Linked DNA regions of Caenorhabditis elegans. The protein of the gene in region 3 interacts with the protein of the main gene of each other region in a pairwise test. Each region holds a gene or a part of one and is shown on either strand. Other genes may lie near its edges. The genes, in order: C26C6.8, tofu-4 and frm-1.

What was found.
Region 1: the proteins of frm-1 (region 3) and C26C6.8 interact in a two-hybrid assay, tested with the Caenorhabditis elegans proteins (one large-scale study listed by BioGRID).
Region 2: the proteins of frm-1 (region 3) and tofu-4 interact in a two-hybrid assay, tested with the Caenorhabditis elegans proteins (one large-scale study listed by BioGRID).

Annotation. Positions count from the first base shown.
Region 1 is NC_003279.8:7,503,953-7,507,707, forward strand, and holds the start of C26C6.8 (SH3 domain-containing protein), read right to left. Parts: upstream 1,691-3,755; 5' UTR 1,629-1,690; coding exon 1,586-1,628; intron 1,513-1,585; coding exon 1,421-1,512; intron 1,367-1,420; coding exon 1,214-1,366; intron 846-1,213; coding exon 732-845; intron 684-731; coding exon 463-683; intron 1-462. Other genes in the region: C26C6.6 (LIM zinc-binding domain-containing protein), read left to right, coding at 2,020-2,085, 2,131-2,196, 2,257-2,356, 2,516-2,694.
Region 2 is NC_003279.8:4,824,675-4,828,429, forward strand, and holds tofu-4 (Twenty One u-rna (21U-RNA) biogenesis Fouled Up), read right to left. Parts: upstream 1,966-3,755; 5' UTR 1,960-1,965; coding exon 1,660-1,959; intron 1,615-1,659; coding exon 1,441-1,614; intron 1,393-1,440; coding exon 1,285-1,392; intron 1,241-1,284; coding exon 1,008-1,240; intron 964-1,007; coding exon 847-963; intron 802-846; coding exon 495-801; 3' UTR 230-494; downstream 1-229. Other genes in the region: F57C9.6 (G-protein coupled receptors family 1 profile domain-containing protein), read left to right, coding at 53-137; htp-3 (HORMA domain-containing protein), read left to right, coding at 2,405-2,461, 2,512-2,665, 2,715-2,818, 2,863-2,975, 3,021-3,172, 3,222-3,315, 3,363-3,547, 3,592-3,755.
Region 3 is NC_003279.8:14,895,608-14,899,362, forward strand, and holds the start of frm-1 (Moesin/ezrin/radixin homolog 1), read right to left. Parts: upstream 1,756-3,755; coding exon 1,630-1,755; intron 1,576-1,629; coding exon 1,425-1,575; intron 1,178-1,424; exon of another isoform or gene 956-1,177; intron 784-955; coding exon 386-783; intron 1-385.

The DNA.
Region 1 (3,755 bases), 7.4 Mb from region 3:
AACTTTGCAATTTTTGCGCCAAAAATATGGTACTCAATCTCGACACGACAATATTTTTTATCAAATGTAAACGGATGTGCGCCTTTAAAGGGTACTGTAGCTTCAAACTTTCGTTGTTGAGGAATTTGCATAGATTTTTCATAATTCTCCGTTAAAAAATGTATTTATTTATTTTAAAAAACCACAAAACACATATATTTTATTTTACTAATCGTGAGAAAAACTATGAGCACGAAAAGTTGTATTTACATTACAGTAGTCTTTAAAGGCGCACACGTTTTCACACTTAACAAAATTGTTATCGTGTCGAGACCGGGTACTGTATTTTTGGCGCAAAAATAACAAATTTTCGCGTCTTCTGAGTCTTTTAATTCTGAAAAAAAAAACAGAATAACACCCATGACCCATCTGAATAAGTCCGTACACCTTTAAGCGTTTCAGAAAACTGCGAACTTACGATACCATTTTTCTTTAATGACACGGCTAGCTTGTTGCAATATTTCATGTGGAATCTTAACATGGGAAGAAGGTACAAAACCAGATTGATTGTCCGAATTTCGAATATAGGTCCACTCAGGATCTGATATATTCAAAACTGTGACAGATTCTCCATCTTTCACAGATATATCATCTGGAGCTGATCCATCAAATGACTGTAGTATTTGAACTTCGCATATCTCATCCTGCAGATAGTATCAAAAGAATATTCAATAGCTTTATTCAAAACAAACCATTTTAAAAACCTCTCCTTCTTCTTTTTGAACAGGAAGACTGTCGATAAATCTCTGCAAATTTGATTTTTCCCAACGGCGATCAAGTGTCGCGCTGGATCCGATCACCTTTTTCTGAAAAGTATTTGATTTGATTTCTCAACGGTTCCATTCCCGAAATTCTTGGAGATCAAACCGAAATGGGACTCTCTGACATCACGTGGCTTCTAAGTTGTTCTCACTAAAGGTGACAATGATTTTCACCACTTTTCTTCGATTTTTCAATGACAAAACTATGAAATATCTATGAAATATTGGAAATAATTAGGAGTGTGGTTACAGTAATTCGCAAGGCGCACATTCTTTTGCGCATATTTCGGTCGTGTCGAGACCGGATACAGTAGTTTTAAATGAATATCATTAAATGCCACAATTACACGTGTTGTTGCATTCTTTAAGATTTGCACTAAAAATAACTTTTCTAGAACATCTAAAACGCTCACCTTTTCACCGTGTTTTGAATTCAAAAGCAATTTACAATATGTCTGTGGAACAAATCCTTTTCTTCCATCAGATACCTCAACATAAATCCATTGATCATCTCGATAAATTGCTTTAACTGTAGTGCCACGGGTTACACTAATTTCGTCAGCAACCTTAAAAGTGAGAGGTTAGAAATTGGGGTAATTTGGAAAAACTGAAAACTATACAGTTGCTGTGAAGTTTTTTGTTAGTTGTCCTGGAGTATAAGGATCAAAATGATCCACTTGCATACTGTCAACCCATCCACCATTATCGGGCACTGAAATTCATTTTTGGAGGTTTTATTTTTAATCAGCTAAAATTAGAAAAAAAATGGGACAAACTGTGCTCACCTCTTCCAGATACAACTTTCCAAAAAATGCTCCTAATGCCCATTGTTTTTGTGCGACGAAAAGCCAATGAATTGCTCACAAAACACGGTTAATCAACAGAGGCATGTCAAATTATTGTTTGTTCACCGAAAATTGGATCTGATTGGAAAAAAAGATGGAGTCTCGGGAGGGAAAGGCATGAAAGGCGGACAGTATTATTTGGCTTCAGTATAATGGCTTATTTTGCCCTAGAAATAAGGAATCTGTGATATTTTATGTATTTTGGAGATTACCATGCAGAGATGCATAAACTTTTGTATCTTGTTTGGAAGTTTTCAATTAAAAACCAATAAATTTTAATACCAGTTACGTGGCAACCGCTTACTAAATACAAATTCGGAGGCGAAGAATACAATTTTAATAAAAAATAATTTATTTCCAAATAAACTAGAAAAATGACTATTGAGTTTATCAATTGTGCAGGATGTAAAGCCAAAATCGCCGAGGAGGATGTCGAAAAGGTAAATCCACAATTGGTGTATTTCCTTTAAAAAAGTAATTTTTAGAACAAAGTTGTCTTCTTTCTGAATCGAATGTGGCATCGGGATCATATTCAATGCATTTTTTGTAAAGTTAGTTTTGGAAGCGTTCGGAAAAAAGCACTTCCAAAATTTCAAAATATCCAATTTTAGCTTCAAATCTCGGACAATCGTTATTTCCGTTCATCAATTGATCCAATGAAACCATCATGTTATGCATGTCATATTCAAACAAATCATCCATCTTGCACAGGTATTTTTAGTTCTTCGAAGTACTGATTAGTAGAAATTAAAAATTGAATGATATGGCTTGTGAATTCGGTTTTGCACGGGTTATACGAACTTTGATTACTCAGCTACATATAGGAAAGATTAGAGCCCCTTACGATTACTTAAAAAACAAATTTTACAGGATGCTCATTGCCAGTAATTGAACGAGGACTTGTTGCATTTAATCGTCTCTTTCATATTGATTGTTTCCGTTGTGCAATCTGTAACAAGACAATTCCTCAAAGAAAAGGATTTTATGAACGTGATATGATGTTTTATGATGACGTTTGTTATATGCTTCATATCAAAGATGTTCTATAACATATTGAACTTATTTGAAAAAATAATGAATAGATTTTGAACGGTTTAAAGTGTATTTTTGTGGGTTAACTATAATTTCTAAGATACTGATTTTTGAGAGATTTCAAGACAAATAGGGAGTAAAGTAGTCCCTTTCGGAACAATTTTTCTGTGATTTCTCTTGTTCACTGACAAAAACTGAACAATTTCAGTGTTTCATCTAATTAAAACATTTTTTTATCAGAAACATTGGACTTTTTTAAAATTTATAACACGATTTTTGAAATTTTACACATTTTGAAAAATGCAATTTCTGAATCCAGAGTTTTGTCAATTTTTCAATCAATTTATAGAACTTGCAAAAGTGAAACAATAATTATAATATTTGAAACATCACAATCATAATGAGCATCCTTCTGTTCTTTCATCATTTAACCTCCTCCATTCAAGTAGTAAAGTGTGCATCTAGTAACTTCACACCACAAAATGTTTCTGTGGGAGAAGAGCTACGGGATGGATGAGATGTGTCACCTGTGTCAGATCAAAATGACGTCATATAGATCTTAGTTTTCTTTTTCGAGTAACTACGTACTCGAAAATGTTTTGTGACTTTTTAAACATGTCAGTGTCAATCTTTTAATAATTTTTTTTTGTTTTTTGTTTCTGTCTGATTTTTTTTTGTGTAATAGTCTTGAAATCTTTTTGAAATCTAAAAGTCTTCTCAAGTCTCAATTCACTATTTCAATATTTGTCATTTTTACGTTTTTACAGAGAAACTAAACATTTAACTTTTGTTTCAGATGAAGTTTTGGCATATTTCCAATTTTCCTTGCAAAATTTTTTTTAAATATTGAACACTGTTGAGTGAGGAAATGTTAAACTACACAACATTGAAATTTTTAAACACAATTAACTAAATATTATTAAACCCAAAAACGTAGGAAATTTTGTTTTTTTTTCGGGCTACTTCCGCAATTATAATCGACTGTAAATAAAAAAGAATTCTAAAATTTTTTGCCATGCTTTGCTTCAAATAGGAGTGATTCCGAACATTCCACACTGGCGACACTCCACCTTTAATA
Region 2 (3,755 bases), about 10 Mb from region 3:
TAACTAAAAATGCAATGAAACCACTGAAGAAGTTAAATCTTCAATTTTTCAGAACTATTTTCCCCTGCCTAACAAAAACCGATCCGATCTTGACAACGGATGTATTCAAGCGTCACAGTCAACCGACTGATATTTAATAACTTATTTCTTCCATCTCCATTAATGTTTTGTATCAAATTTTTCTGGTCGCTCCCAAGAATCTCATCGCTATTTTTCTATGAAACTTGATTTTCAAAATTTAAAAAAAGTTTTATTAAAAAAAAAAACATCTTACTAGAAAAGAAACAAAGAACGTATATAAAGTGTCGAACGATTGCGAAAAAGCTAAATATTACAGAAAATGTTTGGTCAAATACGGGAAAAAACGATAGATTATATTCTCACGATATAAATAAATTTGAGATTTGAGATTCTCAAACAACAGCTAGATGCTCTAAAATTTGAAACAAACAGAGAATAATTAAAACAATAATGTGACTCGGATAAAAATTCTTTTAGAATTCTGCGTCTACCATCAGATAGTCGAAGTCTTCTTCCTCCTTTATGGTTCCCTCGTCGCATTGACTAGTCAGGTCAGGAAGGCTGTACTGATCAATAGTCGACGGCTGCTCCGATGTACTTTCCACGTTTGTGTAGTCGATTGGAACATCTACATGTCCGAGCGATTTCTGCTTAATCCTTTCGCGAATTTCCTTCATCAGTTTGGAGTCTCTTTCCTGCTTTTTTGAATTTGCGACATTATTCAGGAACTTGATGGAAGACTCGTGAGCATTGAATGTGGATTGGAAGAAGACGAGATGGCTGAAAAATATTCTTAATCAATATATATGGTTTTAAAATACTCACGTAAATGGTTCCTGCCATAATAATTCGTCCGGATATTTGATGTCGTTCTTGTCAATAAATCCTGAATGTTGATTTTGAATTGAAGATCGACTGTATCCATGAACGGACTTTGGAGCACTGAAAACATAATATTTATTCATGATATTTCTCTTAACAATTACTTGTAGCTCGCGATCTTCTCCGAAAAAGGGTTCATATTTAGTTCGACGGCCTGTGCCACTTGCTCTTTAGAGTTTCTTGTTTGGTAGAAAGAAAATGAATGCGAAATAATATCCGCTTCATCCTCATCGGAATTGATTTCGTCTCTTTTTGTTGATCTGATTCCGATACCCATCCTTCTCATTGCTTTCCAATCGACTTCAGGATCGTCTTGTTTGATGTCACTTGTCAAAGACTGAAAAATTATTGCAAATATTTAAATTATAAATTCTTACACACCTTCAGAGTCAATCCTTGCTCAGCAAAAGTGTCACAGGTGTAATCATCTGCAAGTTCCAGGTCCGGTCTCTTGATGCGACGTCTTTTAGGGACTCCTTGAGGTCTGGTCTGCAAGAAATCATTTCTAAATTTCAACAACTAGCATTAAAATCCCACCATTTTTCTTCTATACAGTCGCCTTCTTCGTTGCTTCGGCATCGCTTGTGGTTCGTACTCACAAACCACGTCTTCAGTGTCTGAGACTTCCCCATCTAACGCTTTCTTTTTCTTTTTGAGAATCCTGTCGTTCTTCAACCCACGAGCAATTTTCTGCTCTAATTCTCGGACAATCTTAAAGAAGTTAAATCGATAAAAATTTTTTAAAAGGCAGCATACGCGTTCATCCGGTCGCTCGCCTTCGGAACTTTCTGCAGCATCCACCATCGAACTCTTGTGAGTCTCCACAACGTATTCATCATCACTCTCCTCGTCGCTGCTGCTACTGTGATCATCGTCGTATTCATTTTCTGAAAAACTCTTGTTGTCAGTGCCATCTGCCGATGCGGGCGGTACTTCGATCTCCAACGGATCCTCTACAATTTCTGTTTCAGGAATTCGTGATTTCTTCTCGGGCTGGTTCACTCCCGAAGATTCCGCATTTGCTCTTTTTGATGCGCTTCTCGTCGTCGGTTTCATCTGAAATTAATGTCTCATTATTAAATATAGAAGCTTAAAAACACAATAAATGAATAAGTAAAAAACGTTTATTTAAATTTTAAGTGCTTTCATCTGTTCTTTGCACATTTCAAAGCGGTTTCTAGACTCAAAATACATAGAGATATGCTCAGATTTTAATAAACTACAATTTTAAAACTTCAAAATATGAGAAATTCTCTTGAAAGTGCATTTTAAGTAGAAAATGAACGGAAAAAAATTGAAATATAAAAGAAAAAACTTAAAGGTGCATGACATTTCTTCCATGGGTCTCGACACGAGAACACAACATGTTGACCTGAGTTACGGTAAACTTCGGTTGAAATTAGTTATTTTATGTCAAATTATTCATTTATTTTTCAGTTTTTTCTCATTTTCAATTAGTTTTTAATTAAAAAAAATGTTTTAAAATATTTTAAGTGTCAAAATGGACGAAAGCTTCGACTCTTCTGTTGTCCCTGGCTCTCTGACGAGTGATGACAGGGTGAGTAGATTTGACAGAGTTTTTTTTGTCGAGAAAACGAAAATTTTCAGGCTATATTCAACGAGCAAACATTGAAAAATGGTGATGAAAATTCGAAAAGCTCTCTTGAAGTGATGGCCAACTGCGTTTATCTTGCAAACTCAACAATTCTCCGTGAACGGAAAGTTATTCCTGCGGAATACTTCCAGGATTTTCAAGTTTATGGTGAGGTTTTATCTATCTGACTTGCAATTAAGCATGAATTATTTTATAGGAGATGTCAGCGGATATACTTTGCGACAAGACATTCCAGAAGGACGGAGTGTGTCTTCGAAGCTTTTGGCGTCTCATGACGCGATCCGTCAGAAACTCCTTCAGGTACAGTTTTACTCTCGTAAGTGGTAAAAATTCATTGTTTGCAGAAACTCGCTATTGTCGTTGAAGAGTCACTAAACACGAATCCCGTGGAAACGTTTGTCTGGACCTTTGTCTATGACTCAACCACATCTGCAAGTGCCGAAATCGGATACGGAGGGTTAGATCATTTATCTAAATATAAATTTCACTGACTCTTTTCCAGGCGTAAATCTAAATTTGTGGTGAATTATTTAAACATGGATGATACTGCTCAACAGTTTTGCAAGATGTTCAGCGAGCTTAGAAATGTTCTAAGCCTGCTCCGTCCGCTACCAAGAGGCCTCATTCCATCGATGAAAGTAGCATACAGAGGAGGTAAGGTTAAAAATATTTAATTTAAATCATAAATAAATTATTGTTTTAGAACCGGAATTCGTTCCCGGATTTCAACAAGTCGACGATTTTGTGAATCCTGAGCAGATCAATCTTGGTGCTGTTAGTTTTCCTCACGGCAATGGGTTTGTTCGTCATTTCAATCATCAAATTCTTAATTAAATTGATTCAGATTTCAATTCGCATATGCCTCGAAATTCATGGTTGAACAGCCTTCAGCCATTCGTCCACCAGTGGAAGTTTCTCATTTTGAAGATGATTTGCTCAACTCAACGATCACACCGATCGAAGTTGTTCGAGATAACACAATGAATTGTGCTGAGAATCCTGAACTTGACGAAATCTATTTTTCACCAGGTGCGTTTTGTCGAGAAAAAAAATTAATTTTCTAATGTTTATAGGTCGTCAAGAAGTACGTATGGACGAAGATGTGGCAAACGAATCAATTCGTTGTAATCCAAGTATGGCCAGTGAAATGATGGTTCTGCAGTCCGAATATAATGTATTGATTGCTGATAATGATGAAGTTCCAATGGTTGTTGAAAGGGAACGTTCTCCAATAGTG
Region 3 (3,755 bases):
ACATCCAATGCGTTGACTGGCTAAATTTACCAGTTTTCCTGATTTTCTTTTTATTTTTAAGTTAAAACACCGTTTTTCAATTTGCCAAACACTTTTCAGTGAATAAAATTTGATCACCCTCAAGAAATTGGCGGAAATTTCAAAATTAGCTTAAAAATCACCAAGCTGATAAATTGAAAGAGAATACTTAACAAATTAATTATTTTAGACAAAAGTAAATACTACTATTTTTTTCATAAACCACTAAAAATATTTCTTCAAAATTAAGGACTTGAAGAATGAGCACTAAAAGAAGAAAATGATAGAAGTTTAGATGTTAATTTAAGAAAAAATATTTTCCTAGTGGAGTACTCGAGCAGGAACCTTTTTTTGTCGAAAAACATACGGAGATTGCCTTGAAAAGGTGGATTCCGTAGAGAGCCAGGTGCTTGCAGTGATCCAAAAATTGATTTTCAGCTTCAGAAGGCGTCTGTCCGCGCATCTCTCTGTGCAAATCGACAATCTTCTTGTATGTTTCCGGATTCGCTTGTGCTGATGGCACCAGCTTGGACGCCACAATGAACTGCTCGTAGGCATCCGTCATCTCTGCTGGAGCATCACCGAACTCGATTTGAGCGACAAACGATCCGAGAAGAGAATGTGTGTCGGCAGTAGCTGGAAGACGTCCGGTGAGGAGATCACGTCTGAGTTGAAGGAAGACGTAGTAGCGAGCGTGATCGTCGACGATCGTTGTAGGTGTGGTCGGGTAGAATTTGACCTCGAACGAGAATTCCCAAGGAAGACCTGCAAAATTTGACAGTTGGTTGAAAAATTGATTTAAAAAAGAAAATGAAATAGGTGGCCGCGGGAAACCTCTTACACGGCCATGTGTTGATTTACGCAGTTTTTGGTTGAAAATTGTTCGAGATTTCGATGTTTTTCAGACTAATTTTTTTTTTTGAAACAAAAATTCCAACTTTCAATATTTTCCGCTTTCGCTCTATAAAAAATCAGTAAACTTTTAAAAAAGACTCGATTTCAAAATTAAAATTATCAGATTTTTCGATTTTCTTTGAAATACACAGAAGATTTGAGAAAACTTTGCGAAAAATGTAGAAAAACTATTTTTCTTCGAGGAATACACGAGCTGCGTAAATCGACACGTGGCCGCGGGTTAGAGTTTTTTATTATATTTTTAAGGATAATATTCCTAGATTCTTGTAATTCATCAGGGAATTTACAAAAAAAAAGGAAAATTAATACAACTTTGGACATGAAATCGATTCAATTTCTTTTCCGAATAAGAGAAATATTTTTATTTACTTGAAACAGCTTTCCAAAAATTTCAAGGCAGTTTTTTTTTTTTGAAAAAGCGGGGGAAATTAGCTTTTTGTGAAGAAAATCCACATTTTTAACCAAAATTTTCTTTTTTTTCTCATTTTTACCTTTAATCTGTTTCGCAATATTCTTATCATTATATAGCCAATGTCGTGTTCCCTCATCTTTGTCGTAGAAGCACAGCGAGAAGTATTCGCGTTCCTCAATCGATAGATCTCGTGTCACTTGTCGGAAAAGTGCTTCTCCTTCCGAGTTTTTCTGTAAAAATTTAGAATTTAGCAGTTTTTCCGGTGAAATTCTTCAAAAACTTACATTAACCTCAAACTCCTTTTGAACTCCGTCGGGAAGAAGAACTTTTGCCAACTGCATTTTCGAATCTCGTGGCTGCTGGCTAGTCGTTGGGTGTTTCTGGTCTCCGGGATCTCTATCGGTACCCATTTGCTCTGAAATGTGGAGGAAATTAATAAAAATTAGAAAAAAAACTGCAACTTTCATTGAAAATAGAAGTTTTAAAAGTTTATAGAGCAAAAGAAAGTGTTAAAATTTGAATTGCCCGGCCGACAGGGAGGAGGGGGGGGAGTAATGCAAACGCGCTCTATTCGAAATGCCACATTTTGTTCTGTTTTTCTGCGAAAAAAAAAGACAGAAGGGATGAATTGGTGTTGTTGGGAGAAAAAGTAGCCAATGCCCGGCATAAAAAACGCAATAAATTCTGGGAGGCATAGTAGAGAAGGACAATAAAGAAAAATTACACCTTTTCTCCGGTACCCGCAGATTGTGGTGAGAAAACATGAAATATTAGGATCATTTGAAGGTGGAAATGAAAAAAGAAAGAGTATTGGAGAAAAACAGTGGAAGAGTTAACTAAATTTACATTCAAAGTTGAAGAATACTTTTTTTTTACTAGAAATAAATACGAATTCAAAATTTTGGCTTTGACGATTTTAATGGGAATTTATAACGTGAATTTTTACGTTTTTATCTTCTGAAAAACAAAAACAAATTTATAAATGCCAGAGAACGTGAAAAAGTGGAAAATGTGGATTCGCAGCGCGAATAACACTAATTTTTGAGAAATGAAGATTTCGTGTCGAAAGTTTGCAGGGAATAAGTTAATTTTTTAGCTTTTTAATTACTTTTTAATTAAAATACAATAAATGGTAGGAAAATAGAAAAAAATAGAGGAAAACATCGAAAAAACGGACAAAATTTGTCTACAGTAAACTTAAAGGCGCATAGTTATGTTCGAGTGGGTCTCGCCGCGACGAAAACGTTTATGGTGGAAATTTTTATTTTTTTCAGGAATTTATTAGTTTTTAACGATTTTCCTTGATTTTCGTTAGCTTTTCAATAAGTAATTCGTATTTTTTAGTTCAGGAAAAAATAGGAAAACATCGAGAAAAAATTAAAGTGATGATTACAAAAATTGCTCACGAAATCCCGAATAAATAGAAAATTGCTACCACAATTTTTTATCGTGGCGAGACCCAACCGAATACATTCTTGAGGCGTTTATTACACGTTTCTAAAAAGCTTGTGAACTTGATAAAGTGAAATCACGATTAGTATTTTTAATTAGAAGTTTTCGATAGAGTAATTTTCTCATTGTCAGTCATGTTGGTCGCTACAAGACCCAAAATACACATTATTGGCAAATATCACAATAAAAAATTGTTCACATAGTTTCAAAAGAATTCCAATATATCAAAACAGCAAAAAATAATGCTTACGGAGAGCTTCAATTGATAGCAGAGGTGCACACACAACTGTTGCTATTTCTGTGCTATTTGTTGCTCTCCTCTCTTATTCTCGCCACCGCCATCAGGATGAAGAAGACGAAACCAACAGGCGTTGTGTTGGCCACAAAACAGCAGAAAAAAAAAACAAAAACGTTTAGTTTATTACACTGTTTCATTCTATTCTTTTCATCTCAGTCAATCACAGTAGTGGGAATTCGGAGGCAGAAAAGATGAAGGCGAGAGAGGTGTTGCAATGAGACAATTTTTCGCAATAGCAAAGAAGAGAGAGAACAAACAGTTTTTATTGTTGAACCAGCTTGTAGATTGACAATGTTGCCGATGAGAGAATTATTGGAGGCAATTAATTTTTTGGAAAGTTTCCTTCCGCTGTTTCACAGACCTAGTTATGACTAGCTTTAGAGACAGTCAACATCGCCCCTCCTTGTTTGACCTTTGGAAATTAAAAATATTTGGCAATAGATAACAACTGCCAAATCTCAAAAATTGAGGAAATTATCGAATTATCGAAAATTTGAACGGCCCAGTTGTAATTGCCACCAACCACTGCTCCGAACTTCAAACTACCCAATGCAAAACCGTTACCAGAAGTGAAAAATGCCCAGCATTGCCAAAACAAAATTTCAAAACATCTCCAAACAGATGGTTCCTCTTGGTTCTGACACTATGCCCTTGGTCACC